Pelodiscus sinensis: one gene and its partners. The protein of the gene in region 1 interacts with the protein of each later gene in a pairwise test. Links are inferred from orthologs where the notes say so. Each region holds a gene or a part of one and is shown on either strand. Other genes may lie near its edges.

Region 1 (7,660 bases):
CTGGGAGCTGATGTGTAACCACTGATACATTCATGCTTCTTGGTTAACTGTTTAAATGGATACATTATTATATCCCTTATTCCAACTAAGTTTCAAATTGCACATAGCCTTTGAAAGGTTGGGAGTTTTTACCACTGAAATTAACTACTGTTGCCCTTTCTGACCTTTGTTTGCTCTTTATAGTTTTTCCAGTTCTGTAGTTACCATGTTCCCATAAACTAAACTAAGGAGAAACCTGTAAAAATCTGACACTTGCTCCCATAGGATCATCATTTGTTTTTAGTACTTTAAATCAAAAGACATTTGTCTTAAACTTATCAAACTTTTTAATGTAGGCAAGGCTTTAAAAAGAAAAGCTACCATCTCTACTGCAGTTTAAGTTTGCTTGCCTTATTTGTGGATTTTAACTACTGACATCACTGTGCTTAAAATGTAGGCCTCTAATTGCAGAGCCAAAATATTTTTTCCAAGAGTGCTGGAAACTTTTCCACACACATAATAAGTTCTGTATTGTATATTTTGTAATAATATTTCAAAACTGTCAGGCTTTCTGGTTGAACAAAAGCAATAAAAACAAATACAGTGGTGCCCTACTAAAATTTCATGTCATTTTGGGGCCTGTGAAAGATCATAACCACTGCATTCCCATAGGAGACAGCTAGGCTTGCCAATATGCACTCCCACAGGTGTACTCAAGTATCACAGAGCTAACTGGCGGGGCAAACACAGCTGGAAGTTGGTAGGCCATCATCAGGCTCAACAGCAGGCTGACCACGAATATTTTATTTCATCTACAACATGAGAGGAAGGAGCAGCTGAACTAGGGCTGCAGGAGAAAAAAGGGGGAAGAAGCTACTTCATGTTTAAAGGGACACCAGCATATTAATTATTCAAGGGCAATTTCTGACCTTACACCAGTCCCTTCTCTTGGTGACAAAGAGAAGCTTTTGGTGTGAAGACCTGAAGAGGAGCTCAGTGTGGCTCAAAAGCCAACTCTCTCTCCAACAAAAGTTGGTTCAATAAAAGATTCTCATATCCAACTCTAATCTCCTGGGATTGTTAGGACTATAACTATGGGCCATTTTTGCGATCGGGGCTTTTTTGCGCAAAACAATACCATGTTGTTTACACTGGCCCTCTTGTGCAAAAGCATTTGCACAAGAGGGCTTTTGCTCGAACAGGAGCAGCATAGTATTTCTGCAAGAACACTGACAATCTTACATGAGATCATCAGTGTTCTTGCGGAAATTCAAGCGGTCAGTGTAGACAGCTGGCAAGTTTTTCCACAAAAGCAGCTGCTTTTGCGGAAAAACTTGCCAGTCTAGATGCAGGCATGCTGTTTATGAAGTCTCTTGTCAATTTGTTGTTGTTTTACAATGGCATCTTTTCCTGCTTTGAAAAATATTGCTCTCTCCTTAACTTTCATACAAACAAACAGAGAAACTGACCAGCTGATTACACAGAACATAGTGAAACAAACTAAAGATCCATCCACACAATGGGAATAATAACCCACAAGAATACTGAGGCTTAAATTGTTTAATACAGTAATATCCATTGGGTGCGTCTAGACTGGCAAAAACTTGCTGCCTGTGTACACTGGCCACGAGAATTTGCGCAAGAGTACTGACATTCTAATGTAAGAATTCAGTGCTTCTTGCGCAAACACTTTGACGCTCCCGCTCAGGGATAAGCCCTCTTGCGCGGGCCAGTGTATACAGTCATCTTAATTTTTTGCGCTAAAATGGCCATCGGAGCTTTCTTGCACAAAAGCGTGTCTATACTGGGCACGGATGCTTTTGCGCAAAAGCACTTTTTGCGCAAAAGCATCCGTGCCAATCTAGACGCTCTTTTGCGGAAATACTTTTAACGGAAAAACTTTTCCGTTAAAAGTATTTCCGCAAAATCATGCCAGTCTAGACACAGCCATTATGTTTTGAGATCCACACATGGTAAAGACCAGGTATTCTTTATTTAGAACACTCAGCGGGAGAACAAACAGTTCATGGATAAATTTGTTTTAGAAATGCAACAGATTCATAGGCAGATTAGCAGAAAAGCCATTACAAGTACTGTACAAAGAAGAATATAATGAACATAATTTATTTTAATATTTATATTTTTAAAATTATTTGGATAGTTCATATTTAAGCAGAGGACAATTTCCCTTAAAATCAAAGCCATCTACCATGAGCAGCTGAGCTAAAATATCCAATCTGGTTTCTATTAGGTTGGGTGGGGTTTTTTTGTTTTGTTTGGGGGGCAGGGATTTGAGGGTGTTGATAGTGCTTCTCTAGTCTGCTCAAGAAGAAAAGAACATTAGAGCAAGAGGAGCCCTCCCAGATGGAAGCCTCATGGACACTATCCAGCCCTGGCAGAAGGACCCAGAACTAAGGTCACCATATTTTTCTAAACTGAAAACGGGATGCTGGGTAAGTAGTGACTCCAGGTAGCTCATCAGACCAGAACCACCTGGTGTGGCCACTCTGCCCAGCTGATTATAGACATCACAACTTGTTTTGGAAAATCTGGATATTTGTCCCACTTGCTTTTGCTCAAACATTCCTCATCCCCCTTCCCCTCCAAGGCAAGAACAGGGGGACAAACGCCAAGTTTTAAAAAAAAAAGTCCTGATCTCCATGACTGCTGAAAAGCAGCGGCCAACCCGCCCCTCGAGTCACCCCGACCCTACCCTGCCCAGCCACTCACCCAGGCTCGCTAACCAGCGTGGGGCTGGGCGCCCCCAGGCTGATCCGGTCCCTTGGGGCTCCCCGCTTGCACAGCGCCGAGCACAGCGCGGCCCTGGCTGCCGGGTGCAAGCGCAGCCCCACGGCCCCTGCCTGCCGCCGCCCCGCCCCGGCTCCGCGCCTGGCACCCCCGAGCTAACGGCTCCCAAGGCGGCGCGGGGCCGAGGCCGGGCTGCTGCGCTCGCCCCTCGGGCGGGCACCGGCCGGTAACGCGCCCCGAGCTCGCGGCTGCGCTCACCTGGGCTCAGCCCTGCGCGCCCGGGCCGCCTCTCGCCGCTGGCGCCGCACCACATCCTCCGCCGCGGACTCGCTGCCGCCGCCGGCCCCAGGCCCAGAGGCGGCCCCGCAGCGCCCCCGCCTGGCCCTACCGGCCGCGACAAACGGTCTCCGCGAGCCACGCCCCAGCCCGGCCCCCTGCACACGCAGCCAAACCCTTCTCCCCTCACGGGCTCCCAGAGCCGCCGGCCCCCCGCCTCTCACTGCCTCATCACAGCTACACGGCCCACAGATAGAGATGCACACACACCGCCGATATTCCCCACACCAGCACGTGCACCCCACACCACCTCATTTCCATATGCATCCACACCTGACACATACACACCATCGATCTACATATAGGAATATATCTTACTCCACATATACAATCCCATGCATTGCATGTTTACACCACATGTACACTACACACCCACACATATACACATATATACACTCACATGCAGCCTCAAGAGTTCAAAAAGCATAAGATTTGATTCAATATGATTTTTTTAAGAAAAAGTGTTGTGGGTGTGAGAGAGAGACGGTTTTATTGGCTTTATGTTTTTGAGCCCTGTGTGTATGTCTCATATGGTTTTATTGGCTTTCTGGGTTTTGAGTCTTTAGTGTGCACTTGGAGCATATTTTCAAACTTTTCTCCACAACTAGAGATTTTTTTATTTAAGCATAAATTCCAGCTTCTCCGTCTTCAAGGAAAACAAATGGTAACACAACTCACAAATAAAATTGTAAGAGTTGACAACACTACACACACACACATATATATATATATTACACACTCATATACAACACAGCTTTGCACATCACACGTATATTACATCCGAAAAGTATATGCTAAAATAACATTAAGGTTGCTACTGAGTACTTCAAAGCTAGTAAATGCAAAAATTAAGCTTGCCCATGTATACGGTATTTAGTTATATGATCATATACTGTTTTTTCTACAAGACACTCATTTGGTACAAAGGATGGAAAGTGCTAGAAATTAATCAGGATTATGTAATGAAGAAGGTGCCATGTAAACAACACACACAAATATTACACATACATGTCACACATCCAAAAAGACATACATCCACACAACAACCACAGATCTGTTCAAATCACATATACATACATATCAAATAAAATGCAAAAACTAATATTTTTAAAGAGATTTTACTTCAATGGTAAATTCTCATTAGGGTCAGTCGTATGCAGTTTGCAACTTCCAAACAGAGTTGCAAAAGTCAAGTATTCTAATTCATAGTAATTTGTGCAATGAAATGCTGGGTTTATCTTTGTATAATTGGTACATTTATTTATATAACACCCACAGTTTGTCAGGTACTTCATAGACAAAATTCCCTGCCCAAAAGAGCTTGCAAATAAGGAAATACAAATTTTTATGCATAGGTTTATTCTTATTTAGATAAGTAGTCGTGTTTAGATCTCCTGATATTTATTTTAATTTTGGACTCAGATTGTACACTACATATCTGACTGATTCAGACTCCAGATTCCACCTTTAAATTAATTCATTTTAACTAGTTTTAGCCAAGTTAGCACCATTTATTATGCACTATGTTCAAGTGTCCTGAGTTTGATACAGATTTGAGAAGGCATATAAGGATGAGATTTTTATCGGTCAATGTCTGTAAAAGTCAATTCATTGTATAAACACAAACCAAGGGAAAATACTGCCATAAAAAATAATAGAAATGTGCAAGATAGGCAACGTTTGCTGCTTGCAAACATTTTCGTATGTTTTGGTATTTGATGCTTACAAATTATGGCTTACTGACTAGAAAACTTTAACTTTTTGAATCTCAACATCTATTATCGTTATATCATTATTGTCTGACACCCCCATAATTTCCCACAAGTGTGAAAATTTTAAATCAATAAAAATAAAAAATACTTAAAATAAGTATCTATCATAATATCTCTTGAAATTATACAATAAAAATTGAATTCTGCTAAGCCTATTTAGAAGTTAGATAAACCTGAGAGAGAGAGAGAAATATCTGCCTTTGTGTGATATGGAAAAATTAGCCAAAATAGCAGATTAAGAGCATTTTTCAACTCTTTTGAAAAGAGGACGTGTGCCAGTCTTACAGTGTAAAAATGCTTGTAGTTCACTGAAATTATTGCAGTTCACTGAGGCCCTGATTATCCTCATTCATATTCCTTTAGCCCAAATGAAATTCAGGCAAATTTTCAGTCCCTGAACTCAGAGTGACTTGGGGCTACTCTGTATTTAGTTCCCTAGTGGTGCACAATGCTCCAATGAGGGAAGAGAGGAGGTAAAACCACAGTCCCAAGCCCTTTACACCAGCCTGCAAAAAGGGACCAGAATGCAGGGCCAATCCACTGTACTACACAGAGAACTGTAGTAGTAAACATCCACCCTTACACTTCTGGAAGCACTGGGTAATTTATACCATCCCTTATTTGGGGAAGTGCCTATGTGTATTCTACATGCAGAATGTTTTGCTCTTAAATTTAAATCTACAGTGGTACACTTCAGTAGCGTAGTCTCTGTGCACACTCAGGAGTTCTTCTGTGGGACTGTATTTTGCTTGTTGTAGAATTTTTCCTTTTCACATTGAAGAAAGCATGCATACAATTATGTGTATGATATTGGAAACAATCATTGTGCTGAATGCATCTCAGTGGCTTATGATTTTCATTAACTAATTCTTCACTAAGAATTATGTTCCTCTTTATGTATCTCATGGTCTTCTCTAATTTATTTCAAATTAGATTAACTATATCTGGTATATATGCTTGAACGAATCCTTTCAATTAAGGTTGTTTATATGTGCTGTTTGAATTCTTCAGTCTGGATTTGGATGTCAGAAACAGAAACATTAACTGTTGTAGGTGCATTCTAATACACAGCTATCACATACCATCAGTCTCTGAGGAACTTGGAATGTATTTTTCAAGTTTCACTCAGGCCAAAGCAGGGAAACTGCCCTCATTTGTGTATTAAGGCCATCACTTTTCTGAGGATATCTTTTTTTCTCTTCCATCTTACTACAGCCACCAGTATCTATCCTGAGAAACCCCCCTCTGCCCACCTTCTGAGTTCCCCAAAAAGGCTAGGTGCCATCTCTGTACTATTTTTTATTTACCTTTTCTCTCTTATACCAGGTCTATACTAGACTAGGAAGGTCGGCTTAAGGTACTTTACTAGACCAGCTAAATCAAATGCCAGAAGATTGATCTCTGGCCTAAACCGAACACTAAGGGCGCCTCTGGTTGGCACTGGTACTCCTCGCAGTCCCGAGGAGTAAAGGAAGCCAATGAGAGCGTTTGCGCCCATCAACCTCCCACTCTGAAGACAGCACCAAGCTCAGATTAAGGTATGTTTACTCTCACTACATTATTTACATAGCTGGAGTTGTACACCTTAAATCAACCTTCTGGGTCTATTCTAGACCAGGTCTTAGTTAACTTCTCTTCCATCTCAAACCTTCATCACCACTTTTGCACTGATGCACTCAACTTTACTTCTTTTGATACCTTTAATTGCTTACTATGACCAGGTAAACTTGTGATTTTGTCTTAATCTTCTATTGGCTTCAGTCAGAATTCTGCTTTCTTTCATATCTCCCATGTTTATATATTTTCCTATCACCATCTCTACCACCACAGTATCCATGTACACCAAAGTTAGGATGCAGCATCTTCTACAATCCTCATCAATATATTCATCACCCCTCACTTCTACTATTGTTCTCTATATCTTCATGTCCCAGTTTTTAATCCATGTGTGGAATGTTGCTGTATTCCCACATAAAGTGAATGCCTTTAAAAAGCCAACATTTCCCAGCAGATGCCACACAGTTATTTCTTATTTTAGCCTGGAGGAGACAGTACTGTAGCAGTTCCGATAGTTTGCGTGATTTTTGGCAGATGTTGCCTTTTTAATGGTGACCACTATATGCTGTGCAAGGCCATCCCACTCTCATTTTCCAACAACTTTGCTAACTCCCCACTAATTACAGAATCAAATTCAAAACTGACATCTTCATTTTTCAACCCTACCATGGGCCCCTCTCTCCCTTTCTTGTTCCTCTGCTTGTCAGGAACTGACCTCTCCTTTGTACAGTACCTTCATGCAACCTTAACAACATTGTAAGAATACTCTCCTCTACACCTGCTGCCATCTGGAATAGGTTTCCTGTAGCTCTGTGTCTCATCAACTCCTTCCTCTCCTTTCAAAACAACTGCAAATGTCACTTTTCTTCCTTTCTTACACTTCTTAATTTTATTCCCACCAAGCTATCAGCACTTACCTTAGATACCTTAATGACAGAACCTTGGAAACATCATGGACAGAGCAGATGAGATTAAATTTGGCCATGTGTATTATTCAGCTTTGTAAATGTTCACAATGACTCTGCAGAGTGTTTGGTGATATGGTTTGAATGAGAGACGTTCTTCATTACATAATTATAGAACCATAGCTTTAGAAGGGAGCCAAGGTCATCTAGTCCAACCTCCTGCCAAGATGCAGGAGTATAAAACTTTATCTCTTTCAAAGTCAGAGCACTTGATGAAAAATTCTGACTCCAATGAAGGCAATGGCAAAACTTCTATTGATTTAAGTGGAGCTTGCATTTCATGCCCCAAGAACTGTTTTGTCA
Region 2 (7,970 bases), on another chromosome or scaffold:
AAAGTCTATGTACAATAGAGTTTAAACATATTTGCAAATATGTTAAGAGTTGATGCCCATGAGAACTTTAATACAAGTTTTGGAATTATATATTTAAGGATGAGGCGCCATCCAGTTATCCAACTTTGTTTTTCAGAAGTGGTGGTATTTGCAAGATTTGGATGCCTTGCATGGAATGCCTCAGTTTTTAGCAAGGGACTGAAAAATAGCTGAACAGGGTCAAAACTATTTATCCCCTAATATTAAGAAAACATGAATTAAATACAGTTTTATTATCTCTCACCAGCACATCATTGCAGATATCTCTTAGCTCTGTCTCAATTTTCTCTCTGTATTCTCTGGCCATCTGCTGTTTTTTCTCAGCACCTTCCGTCTTTTGTTCAATACTTGAGACGACTCTCCAAGATGACCTACGGGCTCCTACGACATTTTTGTAAGCAACAGAGAGAAGATTCCTCTCCTCATTGGACAACTCAGCTCCTTGCTCAGTCACAGACTTCATGCAGCCTGCCATGTCATCATATCTCTCAGCCTGCTCAGCCAGTTTGGCCTTTTGCACCAGCTCATTTTTATCCATGCTGATTTTGCTGAAGAGGGAAAACACGAAGGCATTATTCAAACAATATTCATCAAGGGCAAAATAGCCTCATATATATAAAACAAGTCTTTTTTTAAAAAAATATGCAATATTCTAGCTTGTCATTATGCAATTAAGGCACTCTAAATTGGCCCTGAATGCTGGAATATATATAAAACTAGTGACTTGGAAGTGTTCAAGCTATGATATTTCTACAAATTCAAACCTTTATTTAATTAGTACTGATAATCATTTGTTAAAAAAAAAATCACCACATTCAGAATGTTAAGGGGCACCATTTCTGTGCTGTTCAAGTATGTAGTGACAACTCTTGCCACTGCTCAGAATTCTCTTCAGACTTCCAAGCAGCATCATTAACTTCTTCAGTTGCATTATTCTGATGATTAGAGAACAAATTGAGAGAGCATCAGTAACTTACCCTTAAGCAGTTCAGAGAAAAAACACCCCAAAAAATGAAAAATAGAAATTAAAAAAAAACCCTCCAGACTGAAGTAGTAGCAGAGAACTCTACTCCCTGAAGAAGTCTGCTTTTAAACTTTCAGACACCCAGAGGTTAATATTACAATTCAGGCCCTAATTATACACCCATGCTAGAATGGGAGACTCTAAGCTTCTCACCTGGGCATTGCTCTTCTAACTCTCTAGTGATGGTTTGATGGGTTAAATTGCTCAATTTGAGTGAAAACCATCATTGAGATGCAAATGTTAGTTGGGTGTGTTGTAGCCCTTCAGGACTGCATCTTAACAAGCCCTTTCAATCATACTAACCTAACTTGATTAAAGCACACCCTTTTGTATCTCTAACTGGTCAGAATCTTCCCCCCCCCCACACACACACACTTCATGAATTTTTGGCTCCTGATAATTATTTTGAGCCCTACAATATGCACTAGCTATATGGTTCATTAGTATACTAACTGCAGAGGCTAAAAAGTGAAAAATCATTTCACCTAAGCATACTGTGTTTTTATGTTACATATTCCAATTGCCATAACATTGACCCCAACAGTTTTGATTTGGCTTATACAAGTGATATTTCACATAAGACTACCTGGAATAGAATTTCTTGTATTTAAACTCAATGAAATAAATTTGGATCTTTTTCAGAGATCAGATCATCTCAAGGTTATTTATAGCACGTTTCAGTAGCTGTTTTAACCAACACTAGTTGCTCCCATTTCTCTGTAATATTTGCCAGGGTGGTTTAAGGCCTTTGACCATACTGCAAACACTGCTAAGAAGCCATTTTACAGAATGGTTTCACCTACAGCTGTTACCACCCAGAATAGATTAGACAGGCAAATAGTTAAAATCTTATCTGAAAGCCAGTTTATCAAACTGTGGTTATTGGCTAGCCAACGCCACTAGACTAGCACGCCATGATCCTAGCCAGCACTGCTGCACTTTAACAGAGGAAAAGCTACTTTAATGAAGCACCGCGAGGATGGGAAAATGCCAGTCGATTTCTCTATACACTAGATCGTGTCTTGACAGCATAAAATGGTGCTGTTGAGCTCGCCGCAGCGCAGGGCCGCGCTTGCAGTGGGCACGGCTACACGGAGCGCGGGCGGCGGGGAACTGGGCGGCTACAACACGAAATCGACACGGCGTGGGCGAGGAGGGACGACCGGGCCAGACTCCTCCCGCCGCCCCTCCCGCGCTGCGGCCGCCGCCGCATCCGCCCGGCTCCGAGACAGGCAGCGCCTCCGCCGGGCTCTTTGTCATGGCGGATCCATGCCAGAGCCCAGCCCACCGGGCTAACGCGCTAACCCCGCTCACCTCAGCCCAGCGCCGTGGGGAGGCGGCCGCCGAGCCCCCGCCCCAACACAGCGACGGAAGGGAAAGCCGCAGCCACGGGGGCGAGGAGCCCGCCCCACGGCGCCAGCGCAGTCACCGCCCTGCAGGAGCTGCCGCGGCCACTCGGGAACCCGGCACAGCGCCCATTACACTCCCCGCGGCCGGGGCCCCCAGTGACCAGCGCCGGGATCCGGGGCGGGGCCACCGCAGGAGGGGCCCCAGGAACCCCGCTCGGCCGGCGGGAGGCCACACCCAGCCAGCGAGCCGCCCGCGCCCTGCCCGCAGGGCCCCGCGCGCCCAGGTGGGGAGGGTCGCGCCTGCCTTCCCCAAGCGCCCGCTGCCTCCCCGGCCCGGCGAGCCACCCCCCGCAGCCTCACCTGCCAGGGCCCGGCGAGAGCAGCAGCCCCCGCTGACCCTGCCCCGGGTCACACGCTGCTGCCCCCGCCTCGCCAACGGCTCCGCTTCCCACTCCCCGGGCAGCCGCCTAGTGGCCGGGACAGGGCGGGGCGGATCCGGCCTCACCTGTGCAGCGGCGGCCGAGGCCACATCCGCAGCGGCGGCACAGTTGCCCGGCGGCCGGCTCCCCGGCGCCCTGCCCTCGGGAGCGCGGCGCGGGGAGCCGCCCTGCTGCCTGCGGAAGGACCGCGGGGGGAGGGGGCCTCCGCTGCCCCGCCAGCTCCTTCCGCCCTCGCGGGCGCCCCGTGGGACTAGCGCTGCCGTGGGCCCGGTTACCTGCGTAAGGAGGAAGCGGCGGCGCGAGTGTCTCTGGGCGAGTAGCCGGCGCGGACTGTACCTCTAGCCCTGCTGCTCTCTCCGCTGCAGCCTCTCTCCAGCGCCGCACACGGGGTCTCCGCCAATCACTGCGCCGCAACGCACGGGCACCACACTGCCCGTGACGTCAAACGGGGCCATGGCAACCGCGAGGGAGCGAGCGCCTGCGCCCGCGCCTTCCCCTCCGCCCCACAGAGCGGGGGCCGCGCCAACCGCCGCTGGCGTCGGCGCGCGCACCACCGCGGGGGACACGCCTAGCCCGGCCACCACAGCCCCTGCCGCGGGCGCGCGCGCCTCTGCCTCTGACTGCAGCGCGTGAGTGAGTGAGGCGCCTTCGCGGCCCGCGCGCCGCTCCCCTGGCGGCGGGGCTGGGAGAGGCCGCGCACCGAGCCTCCCATCCCCCATACCGCCCTGCCACTCTGCCGCCTTCTCCCTCTTGCCGGCCGGGCCCGCCCTGGGCTGGGAGACCAGCCTTGCTCGCTAGGGGCGGGGCCGATTCTCAGTTCAGACAGCCCCGACTGCGGCGGCCTTCCGGAGCCCGGGCTCCCATGTGCCGCCCCACGTTGCAGAGCCGTCTGAGGAAGCGCGCGGCTCGGAGGGGCGCTTCGGGGAGCCGAGCTCTGCAGCACAAAGCCGGCATCCATCGGTCTGAGTTGCAGGCTGCTCCCATCGCGGGAGGAGCTGAGCGCCCGACACAGCCAATCCACAGCAATAGCAGAGGCCAGCCTAGCGGCCTTGCTGGAGTCTCTCGTGCGTCTCCCTTTCTGGGGTCGGCGCTCTGCTGGGCTAGCCGGGCTGGGCTTTCGGGAGGAAGTGTAGGGAAGGGTTTGAGAGCAGAAAGGGCTTTGAGCCGTGAGCGGGACTTCTGGGAGGAAGGCTTCCTCAGAAAGAAAATTGCCACATGATCTAAAAATGGTCAGGCTGCAGTTCCCCGATCAGATGATCGACAGCCAGATCACCTTGCCAGAAAATGTTTTGTCCCCCCACCCTGCACACTGGGGCCCTCCGTGGACTAAGAGGAAAAGTTGAAAGAATTGGGTATGTTTAATCAGAGAAAAGACTATTGGGGAGGGACATGATTACAGTCTTCAAACATGTCAAAGATTATGATGCTCCCCAGGGAATTCTGCTCCAAAAATTAAAAATTCTCCACTAAAAAAGTTTCTGCCTATAATATGCAAATCTCATTGTTGTCAATAAATGTGCAGGCACCAGCATGGCAGTGCAAAGCAAATGCCCCTGGCTGCATGGAGATCACCCTACAACACCTCCCTGCTCTCCATAGAATACGGACTTGAAGGTGAAGGTGAAGCTGCACTGAACTCTGACTACACTACCAGTTTAGGTCAAACTTAGCTGCATTAAGTTGATTTGCTAAACAAAGAGTCCACATCACCAACCCCATTCCCCTGACTTGAAGGGCTGTTAAAGTTGATTGCAGTACTCTTGCTTTTTGCAAGAAGCAAAGTTAAATTCGATGTTTTGTTAGTCTATAAAGTGCTACCCAATCAGCTTTTGTTTTTTAAGTTTAACTGTAGGGTAGTGCAGATACAGTGCTTTAAAAGTCAATGTTCTTGGCCTCTGGAAGGTGTCCCACCGTGCCCCCGTGTAGCCCCTAGGGCCAGTACTTTCAATTTAGCTCATCTCTGAGTATGAAGGAAAATCCCTGAAAAAATGGGGAAGATGAATCTATGTAGGTAGAACTATGAACCAAAAAAAGAAATGCTGATATCAATGCAAGATTACACAGGGCATGGTGGAAAAAGGATACACCAGGGATGCCCAGCAGTGCCACATGGAAATAAAGAAACTCAGGCAGCGTATCAAAAGACAAAGGAGGCAAATGGACAGTCTGGGTCTTCCAGAACAGAAGACTGGAATTTCCTCTTCAGTGATTTCTCTCCCCTTGCCCCAGCTCTCACTCGGAATTCCTTTTCAGTCTCTGCTTTCTTGTGATCCTTAAATACAAGTTTCTCTACAACAGTATCTTTATTGCTTTTGTTGCATGGGGGAATAGGGCAGATTGCGCCGGTCACAGGGTTTACAGGCCAGCACACTTAATGCAGGGGGCATCTCCTATAAAGTAACATACAAGATTGCCATATCACTGTCTGGTCATTCACAAACCTGTTTTTCAAAACCTCTCTGATTATCAGTGTCCCTTGCTGTGTTCACCTTATTGCCCTGATGTCTGGTTTCTCACAATTAGTGGCTAGGCAAGTTGCCTCAAGTCCCACCTCCCAATCTGACATGAAATTTCCCTCCCTTACTTTCAGAAGTGTTATGCATACGGTAACCATACAGCCCTTTTTTTCCAGGACAGACCCAGATTTAAGGGTTCTGTCCTGGTGTCCCAATAAAGGTGGCAAATGTCCCAGAAAACCTGTTGGGATCCAGCTACAAACAGAACTGCCATTTCCCACCCTCTCTGGGGCTCCCTCGCAGACACCTAGTACTAGTGCAGTGCAGCAGTAATGCCCCAGCACCACTCAGCACGTAAGCGGCTCCCTTGTTGCTTTGCGTGGGAACCCAGGATGGTGCGCAGTGTCCAGAGTGCCAAGCTCCCCTGCAGCACACGCTGCTGTCCGGCACGCCCTTCGCTCCCACCATGGGACTGCCTCTGCCGTGTGCAGCCTCCAGCCGGCCTCCATCATCCACAGGCGGCTGCCGCTGTTGGCGGAGGGGGAGGGGCGCTGGTTGGAGCTGATGAACCACTCCTGGGAGCTGCTGCCGGAGTCCCGGCAGAGACCACGCAGAGCCCAACTGGAGCTCTGCAGAGCAGGGAGCGCTTGGGCTCTGCTGGTGCACTCTGTGCACGGCCCTTTCTCCCCCCACCCCTTCCTACTCCGCTGGGGGAGCGGCAGTGCACGGACAGAGGCAGCAGCACAGGGCAGCAGCCAGCTCCCTGGGAGCAGTGCTGGCAGGCAAGAGGAGATATATGCTGGGAGCTGGCTCCCCCAGAGTATAAAGCTTATACTACAGAGCCTGCAGTGTAGCTGGTTCCCCTGGAGTGGGTCCAGCAGCTAGGAGCCGGCTCCCAGTGTGTGCTGACTGCCGCCCCTGCTCCCGGGGAACTGGCTGCGCTGCAAGCTCTGCAGTATACTGCAGAGCCCACAGCATGTAATCGTGTAACCCAGGGGTTCTCAAACTTTGTAATATCACGACCCCCTAAAATTCTAAGTGAATTTGTGTGACCCCCCCATCCTCACTGCTACACAAGCAAACGGGGAGTTGGGGGCAGCAGGGCTGTGTGGGGGAACAGGCCGGCGGAAAGCAGGGCTGGTGGGGTGGAGGGTTGGGTGCAGTGAGGCTGGCTGGGGAACATCAGGAGGAGGAGGGGAGAACTGGCCACTGGAAGTAGGGCTGGCGGGGGCAGCAGGGCTGGCCAGGGGAGTTGGGGGGTCATTGGGGCTGGCCAGGGGAGATCGCGGGGGAACCGGCCAGCGGGAAGCAGGGCTGGTGGGGGGTTGGGGGCTGGCTGGGGGACATCGGGAGGAGGAGGGGAGAACTGGCCCCCGAAAGCAGGGCTGGTGGGGTAGCGGGGCTGGCCGGGGAAGATTGGGAGGAGAAGTGGGGGAGAACTGGACGGCGGGGGGGGGGGGGGCGAATTTGCCGGCGGGGAGCAGGACTGACCCAGGCACGTGCAGATCCCAGGGTGCTGCCCGTCCCACGCATAGTCTCGGCAAAGCGCGAGTGAGTTTGGCTGAGGTTCCACAACGCGCTTGACCAGCGCTCAGGAACACGTACAGGGCTTCCCCTCCTCCCCAAGGTGTCACACGCAACCAGAGGCTCTCAGTGCTGATTGCGCCCTGCCTCCCAGCCACTCCTCCCGCCTCCTCCAGGCTTCCGTCGGGCGCCCAGCCAGAAAACTAGAAAATACTGGACATTCCACATGTCTGGTATTTTTTCCATTTTTTTACCGGACTATCCCAAAACCCCCCAAAAATGGAATGTCCTGTGACCCCCTCCCCCAAGTTGCTTGTGACCCCCCTGGGTTTGAGAAACGCTGGTATAACCACTAAGATTTTCAGTGGTTACATGGTTACTTAATTAACCATATTTAACATCCCTAGTCCAAGTGCACATTCTATCCCCATTCTACACTTGCTCAGCCTATAACTGCTCTTTAGTGTGGTCCAGACTGCCTGTGTACAGCTTCTTGAGCAAGCGGTAGGTTGAGTCACTAAGGATCACAATTGGCATTTCAGTTCCTCCAATGGTAATTTTCCAGTCTGGGAAAAAAGTTCCATCCTGCAGCTTTCTGAAGAGACAGGAGTTCCTAAAGATGAGTGCATCACACACCTTTCTCGATCATCCCACATAGATGTCAGTGAAACAACCCTTGTGATCCAACAGCACCTGCAATACCATCGAGAAGTACTCCTTGAATTTTCTGTGGAAAGGTGGTCAGTTGCCAAGTTAGGGATGTGTGTTTTATCTGTTGCCCTTCCACAGTTAGGGAATCCCATCATGGCAAAGCCCTCTACTGTGTCCTGAATGTTTCTCAGAGTCACTGTCCTTCGTAGCCGAAGGGTAATGACTGCCTTGGCTACTTGAATTACAGCAGCCCCCACTGTAGATTTACCCACTCCTAATTGATTCCCAGCTGACTGGTAGTTGTTCAGCACTGCAAGCTTCCATAGGACTAATGCCACTTGCTTCTTAACTGTCAGAGCGGGTCATTTTGGTATTGCTGTGCTTTAGAGCTAGGGAGAACACTTCCATGAAAATAGCCTTATGCATGTGAAAATTTTGCTGTCACTGCTGATCGTCCCATAGTTTCAAAACTGTGCGGTCCTGTCAG
Region 3 (7,533 bases), on another chromosome or scaffold:
GACTTAGGATGCACACAATTTCCCATATCCAAAATTAAAGGAAAATAATGCAAAAAAGAAAGTAATCTCAGTTGGTAATCTACACTTCCACACACAAATTCATCAGACTGGGTGATTTTAAATACAGTCTCAGAAAACAACATGATTAAAGAGAAAGCTTTATATATAAAATCTCCTCCAGAATACTTAAATTCACATCCCATGTAAAATATGTGCGAGTAAACAAAATACGTGACGGAAACTATTTTGGGGGGAGGGATGATTGTTCAAGGAACAAGTGAATTAGTAAGTATGGCTGATACACTGAATTTTAATCTGTTCAGTTCCCTGCATCCTCTGCTTTGCATTTTCCATTGGTATACTGCAATCCATGTTCCTATATATGGACAACTGCAGTTATGTGCCTCTGTGTGTTCTGAAGCAAGTGCATATCTAGCACAGCATTATCATCGTTTAGGGCAAATCCATTACAGTAGTAAGAAGTCAGATTGTCACTTTGTTTTGATCTATGGTCAGCAACAGCCCATGGTGCAGTACTGCACTTGACAGCCTTCCTCAAAAGACATCTGCAATATGCTCCACTCCATTATTCTTGTGACCGGTCCAGGAACACGTTAGGGGGAGGGAGACAAAAACTACTGTATCAGGGGAAAAAAAGTCATCTTAAAATTACTTGCCTTAGGTTGGTGAGCGAGAAAGCAAGCAATTCACATCCCAAGAATAAGACATATTTTATCCAAAAATATATGATAAATGAATAGTATACAAAGGTCTGACAGGTGAAATTAAGGCAATAAAGAATTTTAAAATTATTTTCATGAAGCGATGAAAGGGATAGTTTTAAAATTGACAACTTGCAAATATGAGCAACACCCAGAGGTGCAACCGTCTGAAAAGACTGAGACTGTTCTTACCTTGCTTGCGCATCGGGACAGATGGTAAACAAGATTTAATGTTGGATGGGGTTAATACCAAATTTAAAGGTAAAATAAAATGTGTTTGTTCATTTCAGCTACTATGAAGATCATAGAGGCACACCTATCTCTTTTTTTATTGTTGAAACTTGGTTTGACCTTTCCAAAGGTAAGATTTCTCTTACAACAGAAATGGAATTAAATTACCCCATTCTGAGCACTACTGAACCTCTTATTAGTTCAATGATTTTACACAGTCCAGTGGCTCCACTTACAAAGCCTCCTAGTTTTTAATCATTTTTTTCATTCTTTTCCAAACACATTTTATAAATACCCTGTGAGCTCAATACAAATTTCACAGCAAGCCTGATTTGTTAATCCCATAAAAATGCAGGAGACTGTCCAGGGAGGTTTTTTCCTGCATACCATTTGTCACATCAACACAACTGTCTTCCCGAGTCTACTTAAAACCGAGTGACAAGTTGCTCACTAACCATGTATATTTTAAGATACAATTTTTCAGTGAATGATTTAATTAAAGAATCCTGACTGGAGAGTAAAGTTACTGTAACATTTCTGCTGCATACACATGGACATTTGAAATACCAAATAAAGATGATTTTAAATATTAACACGATTACATTAGTACCAACATGTATTTCTTTTACTATGCATAAAACAGAACAAACATGGCTGACATACTCTTGATTTATCAGAAATATGTTATGTTCCGTAATTGCAGGAACAAGGTGAGAAAAGCAAAATCCTGATTTATCTGATTGTAAAGAGAGACATGATCTTCCTCCCTCCAGGCCCCATTATGTCAGGCATCTCAAGTCTTGCAAAGTCACACATTTGGAAGGGGACAATCATTTTAGGAGATTAATTGTAAGGCTTTTAAAAAGCCTCTTCCAGTTAGGATGAAGGATTTTCCTGTGTGCACTTCAATCAAGCAATTAAAACTTGCCTCATATAGTAAAGACCAAGATTATTTAAAAATACATATTTATCTTGGTCAATAAATTCTCCAGCCACCACCTAGAAATACAGAATCTCTCATTGACTTTTCTGTGTCTCCTGACCTTGGACAGTGGATGGGTTTGTGAATGCTTAGGGAAGCCATTGCTCTGAAATGAACCCATTGACAGGGTCATTCGAGACATTCACAGCCTGTGTTCAATTTTTCTCTCCAGATTTTTCTTCAAAAAAGGGGGGGCAGTAATTAGGCTGAGACGATTGCTTCGGGGGGGAAGCATAGCTCCCTTACTCTTTTTTTGGGAGTGAGGGGAGATTTGCTGGCACTGCTATTTATCACCGTGGTTATTCCCTCCTTAGGGCAGTGAATGAAATTCCTGCTACTGCGGCTGAGAGCAACACAGGGCGGATCCGCCTCGCTCTCTTTCCCACACAAGAATCCTCTGGTCTTCCAGCCAAACAACCTCCCTCGCCCATCAGGGAAGAGCAACAGAAACGCAAACCGCTCCCTGCATTGCTACTCCACCCTGAGCTCGCCTATACTCAAGCGAGCCCAGAAAGACGGCAGGGGGAGAGAATAAAGAGCGTCTCTCTGCAGAGACTAGGTTCACTGGGGTGTCAAGCAGCGAGCCTGGGAGAAGAGGGGAAGAGACTATCAAAGCGCTAAATCCCTCACGGGGAAGCCGAGTATCACTACGGATCCCCCGCGCCTGCCGGGGGCGAGCCCCGGGGAAGCGAGAAGGCAGGCAGGGCGGTGTCGCGAGGCACCATCGCTTTCCCAGATGAGCTCCCGCATCCACAGAAGGAACCAGCACCGCTACCCACCCAACCTTCGGCCGCCCTAAAGCGAGCCTCAGGGAAGCCGGGGTAACGGGGCTGCGCCCGCAACGCCCGTAAAACCCACCGGGAGGGGCGCGCTACATTTCCGCAGGCTAAAGGACCCGGGGAACCGTGGGAGAACCCAGCCGAGCTCGCCTTCGAGCAGCCCGCCCAGCCCTCGCACCGTCGAAGAGAGAACCAGCCCCGCGCTCCGACCTCACCAAGTCTATCGGAAGAGTCCACGGCCCACAGTTCTCCTCCCGACAGACTCCCCGCGCGCCGCCCAGCTCCAGCCTTTATAGAGGAGCGGCCCGGATATGACGTCAACCCCGCAGAACGGGTCTCTAGCTACGGAACTACTCGAATAGCTCCGGACTCAACCGAAGAGCGAGGGCCCCACCCCGCTGAGGCAACGGCTTTCAGAACCTGCGCACGGAAATAGCCGACTGAAGCCGAAGACGCCACCCGCAGTACGGAGAAATCCGAAAGGCTCCGAAAGGCTGGGAGAGGTTTGCGGAGGCTGTTCTGCTGGGCGCAGGGGAAAGCTGCAGTGGCTGCGGGCGGTGCCTGGGCTGCTCAAACAGGCGGTTTGGACTTCCCACAAACTCAGTTTCTAGCCCGCGTTCCCTGCAGCACAGACAGAGCGATCTCACACGATTGTAAGGCCTCCCATTGAATGGCATCCCCTCAAAATCCGAGTATTATTTGAGCGGAGACTACTGAAGTCGCTTACTTTATAAGGAAAGATTTAAAACAAAAGATAATTGAAAAGGTGCATTCATTTTTTCCATCAGGGGAATGTTTATTTTCATGCTCTTAGTCCCTCACTTTCAGGTTCCTGCCTGTAGCACACACTTGTAAAGTTGAACAAAAAAAAGCAGAATGTTTACATAAAAACTTTTAATTTACAATAAAAATGAACATGAAGCAAAGTTTAGATTTTTATAATACAACTAAAAGGTGCAGTGGCACCTTCAATTTGCATTACTGTTAAAGATACAAACTGTCTACATTTTAGACTCCTATGCAAGGTAAAAAGGATCCGTTTCAAAATATTGAGCATTTGCATAGCTGAGAGGTTTTTCTTTTTATATAAAGCTGGTACACAGAGCAACAATTGAAAAAAGTCTCATTTTAATAGAAACATTTGATGCTGTAATTATACCCTGTAAACTATGTTGTTCTCTGTTATTTTTAGCTAGATAGCTCCAGTAAGTCAGTTAATATATGGGATCAGAGTTTTGAGGTTTTGTTCTTTATTAAAAACACAAACATACATTTTCTTTCAACTCCTGTGAAGGTTGTTAAAGCAATTAAGCTAAAACAAAAATCTTCTACTGACATTGCATCAATACCTATAGGACTGCAACAGAGGAAATATGAGTCACAGCAATTTAAATCCAATTAAGTCCTCAATGTACAACAGTATTTCACGTCTGAGATTTCCCATTTCCACCGTATTTTAAATGAACATGCAGTATATGTACTTAAAACAAATCCTTTACATGCATTTGGAATTATGTAAATACATGCCATTACATTTTGCATTGAGATGATCTCTAAATATCCTGGACTAGGGCAAAATGGCCAACACTCAAATTGTCAAACAGTAAAAGCAGTTGCAACAGAAACTTACCTTAGACATCACGAGATCCAATGAGCTACCACCTTTTTGGGGGTAGCTCATAATTGTCTCTAGTAGTGCCTAAAGTATGGGTTACATTTTGATTATGCTAATTACATAAAGTGGAAACATTTTTAAAAATACATTTATTGCTGCATTTAAATATAGTTTCAAAAATCATGGCAATCCATTGCAAAAGCCTTTTTATACCTAAGGCAGAAAATCTCAACATCCTTATGATATTTATAAAAGCATGCACCGTCATCAATATCCCCAAATAACTAAAAATATACAAAGCTTTCTGCCTTGCATATTGTCATAAAACATGATCCATACAATAAAAATCTATAATATTAAACCAAAATATTCAATATTTTCAGTATTAAACAGAAACATTATCCAAGATGGCCATAAGAGTAAGCATTAGATAGTAAAAATGAATGAAGAGAAATGTATTTAATTGCATTGTAAAGAATAGATGCTACACTAAATAAATTGGAACAGTGGAAGAAATTTTACAAGGCACTAGATCTTGAGTACCTTATTGCTCTTTGCACTTTTGACAATTTCCTCCTATATCCTTTTAACAACATTATATCTAGAACAGCTATCAGTATTACCAACTCCAAGCAATCAAACTTTAAAAAAATAGTTTTCTTCTTTTATCTAGGAATTTTCCCCATGCATTTCCTGGGAAAGTTCAAGATATAAAATTTAAGCTATATAGATATATATTAAACACTGTAGTATAAGTTTTGTCAGTAGATCATCTTATATGCCCAAAATCTTGCTTTAAGTATTGTTTGTAGTAGTGTTTTGTAGAGCAGTGTTTGTAGCAGTGTTTTGTGAAAATCTTTGCTTCAGTGGTCATTTCCCAAATACATACAGATCACGTAATGAGATTTTACTTGTTTTCCTCTCTCTCAGAACTTGCTCTTCATTCAAGACATTTTTGGAGGTCTCAGTGAAAAAAATGCAGTAACATATGACAATGTAAAATCCTGTTCATTTTGTTAGAACAACTTTTACCTGAACTATTGAACTATTTCTGAATTAAAGGGTCTTCAAATATACAAAGGGAGAGGGGAAAAAGAGAGAGTCTGGTTGGTTTGTGGGAAATCTATAACAGTGAGTGATAGTTAATTCTAGTACCTAATTCAAACAGAGCCTAAGACAACAGCAAGCAAGTGGCTACCATATGATGGCTGTTAAGTGGCCTACGAAAAATGAGTCTGTTGGTGTCCAGTCCAGCGATTTGGAATCCAGCTCAGTTCAGCTCTCATTACAAGGCTGTCAATACTCAGCAAAGAGGTCCAATATCAAATAAATATGCAAAATGAATTAGCTCCTCAATACTAGATATGACCCTCCAGTGTGCAGTTGAAGCACATGAGCAGTGCAATGAGGGCAGGTGGAGGAAGATTCTGGATCAAAACCTGAAATGCTATACTATGTGCAATGATAGACATGTTTCCACATTGTCCCACCCTATTTCTGAATAAGACACCCTCTGGTTAGCCATATAATTTAATATTAAATCTCTTCCTGTCAGAGAGTGTCAATTATCTATCCAATTACAATATAGAGACCTGTCCACTAGAAATGGGGAAAATATTAACATATAGCACATAATCGCTACCTCTTCAATAGCCTCTCAAGTGACGTACTTGCACTCCCCCAGCTGTCAAAAATAACATCAGCTTGACCACCCAAAACCGCATTATTGGTAGTCATCTATTAGGGATTCCCAGAAACTTACTTGGCACCATCACAGGCACCAGCAGAGAAAAGTAAACTGCAGCAGCTTTAGGTTAAAAAAAAGTTTTAAACTTCACATCCTTTTCAATTAGAATCTAGAATGAACCATTCTTACGATAATTCACCATTACACTCTTACTATGAAATTATTTCAGTACTTCCATACACAAACTGTAGTAAAACTAATACAATCCATGTCAGTCCAAATTAAAGGCTTTTTTTTCCTACATAGGTCGATACCATTGTTCAGTTCATTTTTAGATAAGCCAAGGGGATAGTGTCTTCTATTTTCTTCATATAATAGCACAATATTATTACTGATGAAGACACAAAGCTGTTATGTGCTCTTTCACCTTTGGGTTTTTTTACAGACAAAAAAAGCTTTATTTCATATGGTGGACAATGGGTGCAGAGTTCCTTCTAGTTTCATGAAATGCATAGTAAAAATATTATACACATTAAAAAAAACAAGAAACAAAAAACAGTGAACTATTCTTCAGAAGCCATTATATTGTCTATATAGGTGTAAAACCAAGTTTAACGCATATAAATAAGGAATGTTGCATCATTAGCAGAAATCAGAATTTCTAAGTTAAAATGAAAGAGCTGTTGATTTTAAGGCCCTCCCTGAGGAAAGATGGAGATCATTGCTATCTCTAAGAACAAAGTTGCATGTGACAGATGTCAAATCAGCCTCATTAACACATCTGCTGCTTCTTTGGACTTTAGGGCAGTCAGATACAAAATGAATTTTCACATGGACTCTAATGCCTTTAATACAAACAATAACTTTAAAATACTTATACACAAGTTTTACAGAAGGATTTCTTAAATTTAGACCTTAATATAACTAAGGTACTGAGGTATTTCTATTGGCAATTTCATGTAAAAACTGACAGACTGATCAGAACAAAATTTCTGCCTTAAAGCCACTGCTTAATGTTAATCAACTCTGAAGTATAATGGAGTATTTAGACTAGTTTATATATGACAGATTCACTGTATTTGTTCAAGGCATGAAGGAGTCTCTCACATTCCATAATACACAATAGAGTCCATAAAGCTAACCAAATGCAAACAGAATGGCATGAAATAATATGCAAAGTAAATTAGAGGAGAAAAGTTACTGAAGCTCCAATTTCTATTCAACATAAAATATGTTGAAAGATAGGTAAAAAAATGTTTCAGTTGAAAATATCCAGAGTGTCCATATATAAATACAAAGGTAGGGTTTACATTTCTATGTATTCTTGTCCCTGAATGTAACAGGAAGCCAGATCAGAAAATTTCTGAATGCCTGTGAAGATGAAAATGGGATTTATGACCTCCAGAAGGAAGAAGGCAGAGAACCCTTTGGTAAAGGAATTTCCTTCCGCTGCAAACATTTCTAAGAAAAACAAAAACAAAACAAAAAAGTCATTTAGAACCAATGTAACAAATTCC
Region 4 (8,031 bases), on another chromosome or scaffold:
TCCAACAAAATCCCTTATCCGGACCAATCAAGTCCCAAGGGTGCTGGACTAGGGAGTCCAACCTGTAGGACATTTTCTGGAAGGAGAAGTTGCTATAGGCTATGTGTTTTACAGTTACTCCTCACCCCACTCTATTTCTGTTCCACATTCTCCTGGACTGGTCTGGTGATCCCTACTGGGATCATTCTTCACCTCTGAATCAGGTACGGTTAACAGTAATTAGTCAATGTACATTTATGACAATTGTCTCCACAGTTCCCAAGTGCCCAGTGGTCACCATGCAACCATTATATAAATATAAAATCCTATTTAAAATGTTAACCAGTTAAAACCGGGGGGCAAGGCCACCACACTACAGCAGTGGTCAGGGGCTGATCCCGCCTGACTGTGCAGGGCCTGCCACATCACCGGGCTGCTCCAGCGAGGACACCCATTGGTTAACAAGTTATCCTGGTAAGCATGCTTGTAAGGCAAAACTTACTGGGTAACCGATTAACCAGCTACCCCTTTATATCTTTGGTAACTATCGATATTTCAAACACACATGATTACATTCTGAAAAGGATGAGGAACAGAAAAAGAAAAACAATATTTTCACATTAAAAAAGGCCGGAAAGATTCTATATCTACCTGTTTGTTATATACTGTGTGTTTTTAAATAATAGTTTACAAAGATACAATAGGAAGACCAGCCATCCATAAAGCCCCACCCTGGCCAAGTGTAAGAGAATCCTCATTGCAGCCAGATCCCAGTACATACAAAATACTCCTAAAATATTTAAAGTCATACAAAGCCAAACAAAAGCCAGAAACTTCAAAGATAAAAAACACAATGTTAATTTTAACTAACTCTTGTTGTCTTCCAAATAAAATACAAAGAAGAGCCTACAATAAGGCTTATCAAATTTGAATGTACTGACTTTCATAAGTTTGCCTCAAACTTTGTGTTACTTAAAATGAATATTTTGTTTTTAACAATAGATTAGTGTCTGCCTGTGGTAGATTTTACAGAATACACCTCACCTTTCATGGCAGTCATGAATGTTGTATGTTTTGTGTGCCATTTTCCTCCCATTTGAATCAACCATAACATGTTTTTCAAGACTTCACTTGAATTTCAGGGTTATTCTCCTTCCCCTCTATACTCATTTTGACTGCAATCTGACCTCCCTTTATTGCCAATCAGAAACTGTTTTGAATCTGAAGCACTTTTACATAGGATTTGGGCCTGGAATGACAGAATTTTTTTTCCAAGTCAGGGTAAACTCAAGTTACTAGCTTTTATAATATTTTTCACAACTATCACCAGTTAAAGTACCTTATTGTCATCTCTGGTAGATTTACATGAGTGTATATGATTTGGATATCTTTTCTTCTGAAATAAAAGCCTTACAATATTGTAAGTTGATCTCTGAGAAACCTGAGCACAGAGTATGAGATTAGGTCACTCCTACATTTTAAATTAATTTTGAACATTTCCTAAAGCATGCTCTACATTACATATAGTATTTACCCAGGGACTATTATTAGGGGCTACTTTAAATTATATTATTTCATACACGTTTCATTTTCTACAGACCAAGAAGTATTTTCTCGGTGGCTTCCCCTCCCTGCCATTTCCGTGTTTGGTAGTTTTACATGTACTGATCTTATAACTCCCTATAGCCCTTGTTCTCACTTCTAAATAAAAAAGCATATTTTTTGTAGACAGACACATGACACCATGCTGATCCTACTTTATTCTCCTGCTTGCCCTCAAACTCTCATTTGATAGCAGAATTGACAAGCTGAGGAAGGCTACTAATTTATAGCCCATCAGCCCAAAATCCAGAGTGGGAAAGGAGACAAGATCTGGTGAGCTTTCCCATAGGCTTATACTTCGGGGTAAGAGAAAAAAGAGGAATCCGGATCATCACGCCCATCATGTAAACTGTTTAGGAGATTCCACAAAGATATTTCCCGATATGTCTCTCCCTCCCCCCCAACACACACACCGGATCAGGCTGCTGCCCTTTCCAAGAGAGATTTCCAGGTGAAAAGGGGACCCACTAGGGGACTAGCCTCATGGAGAAGGGGCACTGAGGTGAGAAGCCAGGCGCGCAGGGGGCTGGGCAAGAGGTCCCTGGTGGCCTGCATGTAAACATGCCCCCCTCCCTCCAGAATGTGCGCGTCGATACACAGAGCCGTGGCCGGGCTCCCCGCTCCATGGAGGAAGGCCCTGGGTCCAGGAGCGGGGGTTCCCTCCCCCGTGGGGCCGAGCCCTGGGGCCACGCGGGAGGGGGCGCCCCCCTCGGTGGGCCGGGCCCGTGTCCGGGCCGGGCGCTCACCTTTGTAGTGCACCCGCAGGTTGTTCTGCGAGAGGCCGATGTAGCTGAATTTGTCCTTCGGGCTCCAGGAGCGGGGCAGCGGCGTTTCCTGCTCGTCCACGGCCGGGTAGAGCCGCTTCAGCCGCCGCTTCAGCTCCTTCTCCTGCTCGTTGAGGGCCGGGTCGCCGTGCGGGAAGGCGGCCGGGGCGCTGCTCCCCGCGGGCAGGCCCATGGCGGGCAGGGGCCCAGCGACGGGCGGAGGCGGGGGAGGCGGCGGCGCCGCGGTAGCCGGTGGCGGGGGAGGCGGCGGGTGGAGCAGCAGCGCGGCCGCCGGGGCCGGGACCGGGACCGGAGCGGGGCCGGCGCCAGCGGCGGGGGCGGCGATCCCCGGGGCCTGGGGAGCCGCCGTCAACGGAAGCTGCTGCTGCTGCTGCCCGGACATCCCGGCCTCTGCCAGCTACTACGGCGGCGCGCGGCGGGTCTCCGGGGCGGGCGCGGCGGGCAGGCCCGGGCACTGCGGAGCGAAGCGGTGGGGGGAGGGGGGGCTAGACGGGCAGCCCGGAACCACCGCAGGCGGCGGTTACAGACCCAGGGCGAGGGGGGCCGCGCGCGCGCGCTGGGGAAGGAGGGGGGGGGGGGGTCTCGAGCTCGGGCCGCGGCGCTGGACTGGCTGAAGGAGGCTCAGAGCGCGAGACGCCGCGGCTGGTCCCCAGGCCGGCGCCAGACACTGCCGCGGCGCTGGAGCGTCCTCCCGGATCAGCTGAGCGGCTCCCCGCGGCGGCGCGAGGAGGAGCAAGGGGCGGGGCTTCCGCCAGTCGCAGGGCGCGAGGGCGGCGGCACGCGAGCAGGCGTGAAGGGAGCTGGGCGCTGCTCCGCGGTGGGGCTCGTCCGTTTTCCCGGGCCCTCTGGCCTTGGCCCGGAGGACTGAGCAGGGTCCCAGGCGAAGGGGTACTGTCTGCAGCCAGGGGCGGCTAGTGCTTGCGGTGCAGGGCGATCGCCCATGGCAGCATCCCATCTACTAATTACAATTTTAGTAGGGCCATGGGGGGCGGTGCACCTCCGGAGTGCTACCATGGGTCACCTGTGTCTGCACTCACACCCATGTCAGTGCCAGCAAACAGGAGGTATCTCCTGGCCCACTCACACCTAAATCAAAAGGGTGGGGATGAAGAAATCTCTGCAGACCTGGCTGGTGGTGCCCTCTTGGAGGGAGCTGCCCTGCTGTACCTGTGGTAGCCAGCACCCTTCACATGCAGTAAATACAATCACACTTGCCTCAGGTGTTGATGCGCAATAATCTTCTTTTATAGACTGGGTTTATTGCTTTTAGGCAAAGAGCCTTGTGCTCAGGGGCGGCCCTAAATTAGCTGCCAGCAGCTGGTGCCCTAGGCAAACCATGCAATCAGCACCCCCCATCTCCAAACCCCTCAATGATATTCTGCCACCATTTGGTGCCCCATTGAACTTGGTGACCTAGGTGACCGCCTAGTTCGCCTATATGGATGGACCGCCCCTGCTTGTGCTTTGCAAAGGATAAACAGTTCTGTGGAGGGAGCTGGGCATCTGTTGTTTAACATATTTGATCTTAAAGGAATGATACCTCTTAGATTAATTTTTTCCTGACAATCTATAGAGTTTACAAGGAACATCTGAAGAAGTGGGTTATGCTCATGAAAGCTTATGATAATATGTATATTTTTTTTGGTTAGGCTCTAAGGTGCTACAGGACCATTGTTTTTTTAGTTTCAGTCTAATACAGCTACTCAGAGATCTGTGCTTACTTTACGTGCAGTGGGACTGGAACAGTTTTTATAGTGAGGTTGCTGAGAGAACTATACTGTACATCCTGTATATAATGGAAACCACTTCAAATCAGCCGCGCTACACGGGGTTCAAGCAAGCGGGGATTTAAAAATGGCGGCTCCCCGCTTATGCAAATGAAGCCCGGGAAATTCAAATCCCGGGCTTCATTTGCAAGTGCGGTATGCCTACATTACCCTGCTAGTTCGAACTAGCGGGGTAGTGTAAACATACCCTCTGTATCTGACTCATCATCAGTCCTCATCTTCAAAGTAAATGTACAACATAACATTTTCAAAAGATGGGCCTGGGAGCTTAAACTCATAACTTTGGTCCACACTAAAAAATGAAGATCTGACTAAAGACACTGGATTATGGTTTATTACAACATGCTGTAACCAGCTAGCCCATATTTTTCCCCTCTGACTACAGGGATGTTAACATACCATTTCACCTTGAATGGTCCCCTAATTTAGCATAACTCAGTGGTTCTCAGCTTATTTACCAAGGTGAGCTGAACATACAGCTCTGTGTTATGTGGGCTGCAATCCACATAATATATATAACTAGCTGTATGATCCAGAGAATGTCAACAGGCAGGGCTGTCCTTTGGGGTGGGTGCCCTGCCCCCATTCCACTCCTTTCTCCAAGGCCCATCCCAGGCTCTGCTCCTGCCCCACCTCTTCCCATCCCTGCTCCACCACTGCCCCCAAGCTCCTCCTCCTGCCCCCAAGCAACGTGACAGGAGTCTGCTGCTGGCAGCAGGGTGGGGCCTCCCTGCACTCACCGCTTCCTGGCATTGCTTCCCACTGGCACCAGGCTTCTCAGTTATCCCCTGGGCTCTATCAGTGGGCTACAGTAGTGTGCTGATTGGGCCGCAAGCAGCCCATACTGGGCCGTAAGCAGCCCATAAGCCACAGGTTGAGAACCACTGTTATAAGTAGTTAGCACATATTCTATCTGTTCAAGGTTATATTTAGCTGTCGTGCTCTTCTTGAAGAAGTCTGTGAAAATCAAATCCTTGTGTGTCTCACCACTAAAATGTAATCCAAAAAAAAGATTACATCACCCAGCTTTTCTCTTTAATATCCGGGGATCGACCATTCTTATTATATATACATATATTTTAGCAATAACTGTTTTAATTCTGAGTATTCACGTTGGTCTTACAACTGTCGTAGACCCTTTTTGAATTAGGGATGTAAGCGAGTAATCAACTACTCGACTACGATAAACATAAACGTATCCAATAGTCAAGTGGAGTACTCATAGACTTTAAGGTCAGAAGGGACTATTATGATCATTTAGTCTGACCCCCTGCACAGTGCAGGCCACAGAATCTCACCCACCCCTCCTAGAATAATCCTCACACCTATATCTCAGATATTGAAGCCTTCAAATACTTTGAAGACCCCAAGATGCAGAGAATCTTTCAGCTGTGATCTGTACCCCATGCTACAGAGGAAGGCGAAAAACCTCCAGGGCCTCTGCCAATCTACCCTGGACGAAAATTCCTTCCCAACCCCAAATATGGCGATCAGCTAAACCCTGAGCATATGGGCAAGACTCATCAGCCAGACACCAAGAAAGTTCTCTAAAGTAACTCCTATCATCCCTCCATTGACCTATTTCCCACTAATAATGAACGGTCAATTAGTTCCCAAGATCATGTTATCTCATCAAACCATCCCCTTCATAAACCCATCTAGTTTAATCTTGAAACCAGATCGATCTTTTGCCCCCACTACTTCCCTTGGAAGGCCGTTCCAGAACCTCACTCCTCTAATGGTTAGAAACCTTCGTCTAATCTCAAGTCTAAACTTCCTACTAGCCAGTTTATATCCATTTGTTCTTGCGTCCACATTGGTATTAAGCTTAAATAATTCCTCTCCCTCCCTAGTATTGATCCCTCTAATATATTTAAAGAGAGCAATCATGTCACCCCTCAGCCTTCTTTTGGTTAAGGTAAACAAGCCAAGCTCCTTGAGTCTCCTTTCATAAGACAGGTTTTCCATTCCTCGGATCAACCTAGTGGCCCTTCTTTGTACCTGTTCCAGTTTGAATTCATCCTTCTTAAACATGGGAGACCAGAACTGCACACTGTATTCCAAATGGGGTCTCACCAATGCCTTGTATAATGGCACTTAACACCTCCTTATCCCTACTGGAAATACCTCGCCTAATACATCCCAAGACCGTATTAGCCTTTTCACAGCCATGTCACAATGGCGGTTCAAGTGGAGTACTCGACTACTCACTCTCCCTCCCCATTGCCTTGGTATGAGAGGCAGGAAGTGGAGGGCAGAGCCCAGTGCTGCCTCTCGGGATGGGAGGCAAAGGAGGCTGCTCTGGCCTCTCTGCAAACAGGAACTGCTGCTACAGAGCAATGCCTGTTCACAGCAGCCAGGCTGGCTGTGGGGAGGGGCTGCATCAGCATCAGTCCCTGTTTGTGCCCAGCTCCAGGCACCACAAAGAGGGGCTGCCAGGCCCGGCATGAACTGGGACTGAGCAGTTCCCGCTCATATGGGTGCAGGACCACTGTGCCTCTGCATTTTAAATGTAGTAAGAGCCGCCAAGCTCTTATTACCTTTAAAATGTAGAGGTGCAGTGGTCACAGAGAATGCCTCCCCTTATCGACTAATCGTGTATCCAATTGTATTGACTCCACACTTAGCAAACACCTGTTCCTTAACATCCTTATTTTGAATCTTGCTGATTTTCTGGCAACTCAGCAACTTCCTGTGGCATTGAATTCCATAGTCTAGTTGCATGTTGTGTGCAATAGTATTTCCTTTTATTTATTTTAAATAGGTAGCCTTTTAATGCCTGTCTCTTTGTTCCTGTACTATGAGATCGGGAGAGCAGAAGTGCCTGCTCTGCCTTTTTGCGCCCATTCATTATTCTATATACTTTTATTCTCTCCACTCTTATTCATCTCCTTTCTAAGGTAAATAATCCCAGTCTTTTCAATCTGTCTTCGCACGTGAGTTTTTCCATATTTCTAATCATTGTTGTATGCAGTGGTGTTGCAGCTGTATCAATCCCAGGATTATTAGAGAAACAAGATAGGTGAGGTAATATCTTTTACTGGGACTACTTCTCAAAATCTTGACTTTCTCACCAACAGATGTTGGTCCAGTAAAAGATATCGTCTAAGCCACTTTGCTCCCTAATCATTCTTGTCATCCTTCTTGCAACAAGATCAATTGCCAGGTTCTCATTCTTCTCATATCCTCTTTGGTATGGAGTGACCAGCAATACACACAGTATTCCAGGTGAGGTCACACTATTAAGGCATTATAATATTGTCTGTCTCATTCCCTATGTATCCTAACATCTTGTTTGGTGTTTTACTTCAACAGCATATTGATTATCTCCCCTAAGATGTCCACAATGATGGCCAAGTCCCCTTCCTGAGTTGATATACGCTATATGAGGTTCTAAATTAACTAAACAGTCTACATTTTTCTTCCACTATCTAGTACTTTTCAGTTATTGACATTGAATATCCTTTGTCATCATGTTGTCCATGCAACTTGCTTTTTTATACCTTTCTGAAATTCTCAGTTCCTGCTGGTCTTGACTAATCTAAATAACTTTGGATCATCAGCAACTTTTGCCATGTCACTACTCACTCACCCACAATAGAGGAACAAAGGGACAGGCATTAACAGGCTGTACATTCAAAATGAATAAAAGGAAATATTATTACACTCAGTGTGTAATTAGACTATGGAACTCATTGCCATTAGAATATCTTTTATTGAACCAATTTCAGTTGGCAAGAGAGAAACAGGGGAAGAAGTGATTAAGTTACAGCTACAAAGCATTTAGAGTTTTTTTTCTATCTACCAGCTTGATTTTTTTTTCCATGACAGAACTTTGCCTCTTGTTCCTTGATTACTTAGCTTCTAAAGTAGCCTCT

The links.
Region 2: the proteins of DISC1 (region 1) and YWHAZ interact in binary tests that used the Homo sapiens proteins (3 or more experiments, as listed by UniProt). The link is inferred for Pelodiscus sinensis from reciprocal best matches to the Homo sapiens genes DISC1 and YWHAZ.
Region 3: the proteins of DISC1 (region 1) and SPTAN1 interact in binary tests that used the Homo sapiens proteins (3 or more experiments, as listed by UniProt). The link is inferred for Pelodiscus sinensis from reciprocal best matches to the Homo sapiens genes DISC1 and SPTAN1.
Region 4: the proteins of DISC1 (region 1) and RANBP9 interact in binary tests that used the Homo sapiens proteins (3 or more experiments, as listed by UniProt). The link is inferred for Pelodiscus sinensis from reciprocal best matches to the Homo sapiens genes DISC1 and RANBP9.

What each region holds. Positions count from the first base shown.
Region 1 is NC_134713.1:124,055,475-124,063,134, reverse strand, and holds the start of DISC1 (disrupted in schizophrenia 1 protein), read right to left. Parts: upstream 3,126-7,660; 5' UTR 3,041-3,125; coding exon 2,986-3,040; intron 2,930-2,985; exon of another isoform or gene 2,710-2,929; intron 1-2,709. UniProt on the Homo sapiens protein: Involved in the regulation of multiple aspects of embryonic and adult neurogenesis. Required for neural progenitor proliferation in the ventrical/subventrical zone during embryonic brain development and in the adult dentate gyrus of the hippocampus.
Region 2 is NC_134712.1:35,253,016-35,260,985, reverse strand, and holds the start of YWHAZ (14-3-3 protein zeta/delta), read right to left. Parts: upstream 3,039-7,970; 5' UTR 2,944-3,038; coding exon 2,918-2,943; intron 2,512-2,917; exon of another isoform or gene 2,378-2,511; intron 588-2,377; coding exon 284-587; intron 1-283.
Region 3 is NC_134732.1:11,491,138-11,498,670, reverse strand, and holds the start of SPTAN1 (spectrin alpha chain, non-erythrocytic 1), read right to left. Parts: upstream 3,004-7,533; 5' UTR 2,930-3,003; intron 1-2,929. Other genes in the region: mRNA export factor GLE1, read right to left, coding at 7,409-7,477. UniProt on the Homo sapiens protein: Fodrin, which seems to be involved in secretion, interacts with calmodulin in a calcium-dependent manner and is thus candidate for the calcium-dependent movement of the cytoskeleton at the membrane.
Region 4 is NC_134712.1:106,033,762-106,041,792, forward strand, and holds the start of RANBP9 (ran-binding protein 9), read right to left. Parts: upstream 3,096-8,031; 5' UTR 2,749-3,095; coding exon 2,328-2,748; intron 1-2,327. UniProt on the Homo sapiens protein: May act as scaffolding protein, and as adapter protein to couple membrane receptors to intracellular signaling pathways. Acts as a mediator of cell spreading and actin cytoskeleton rearrangement.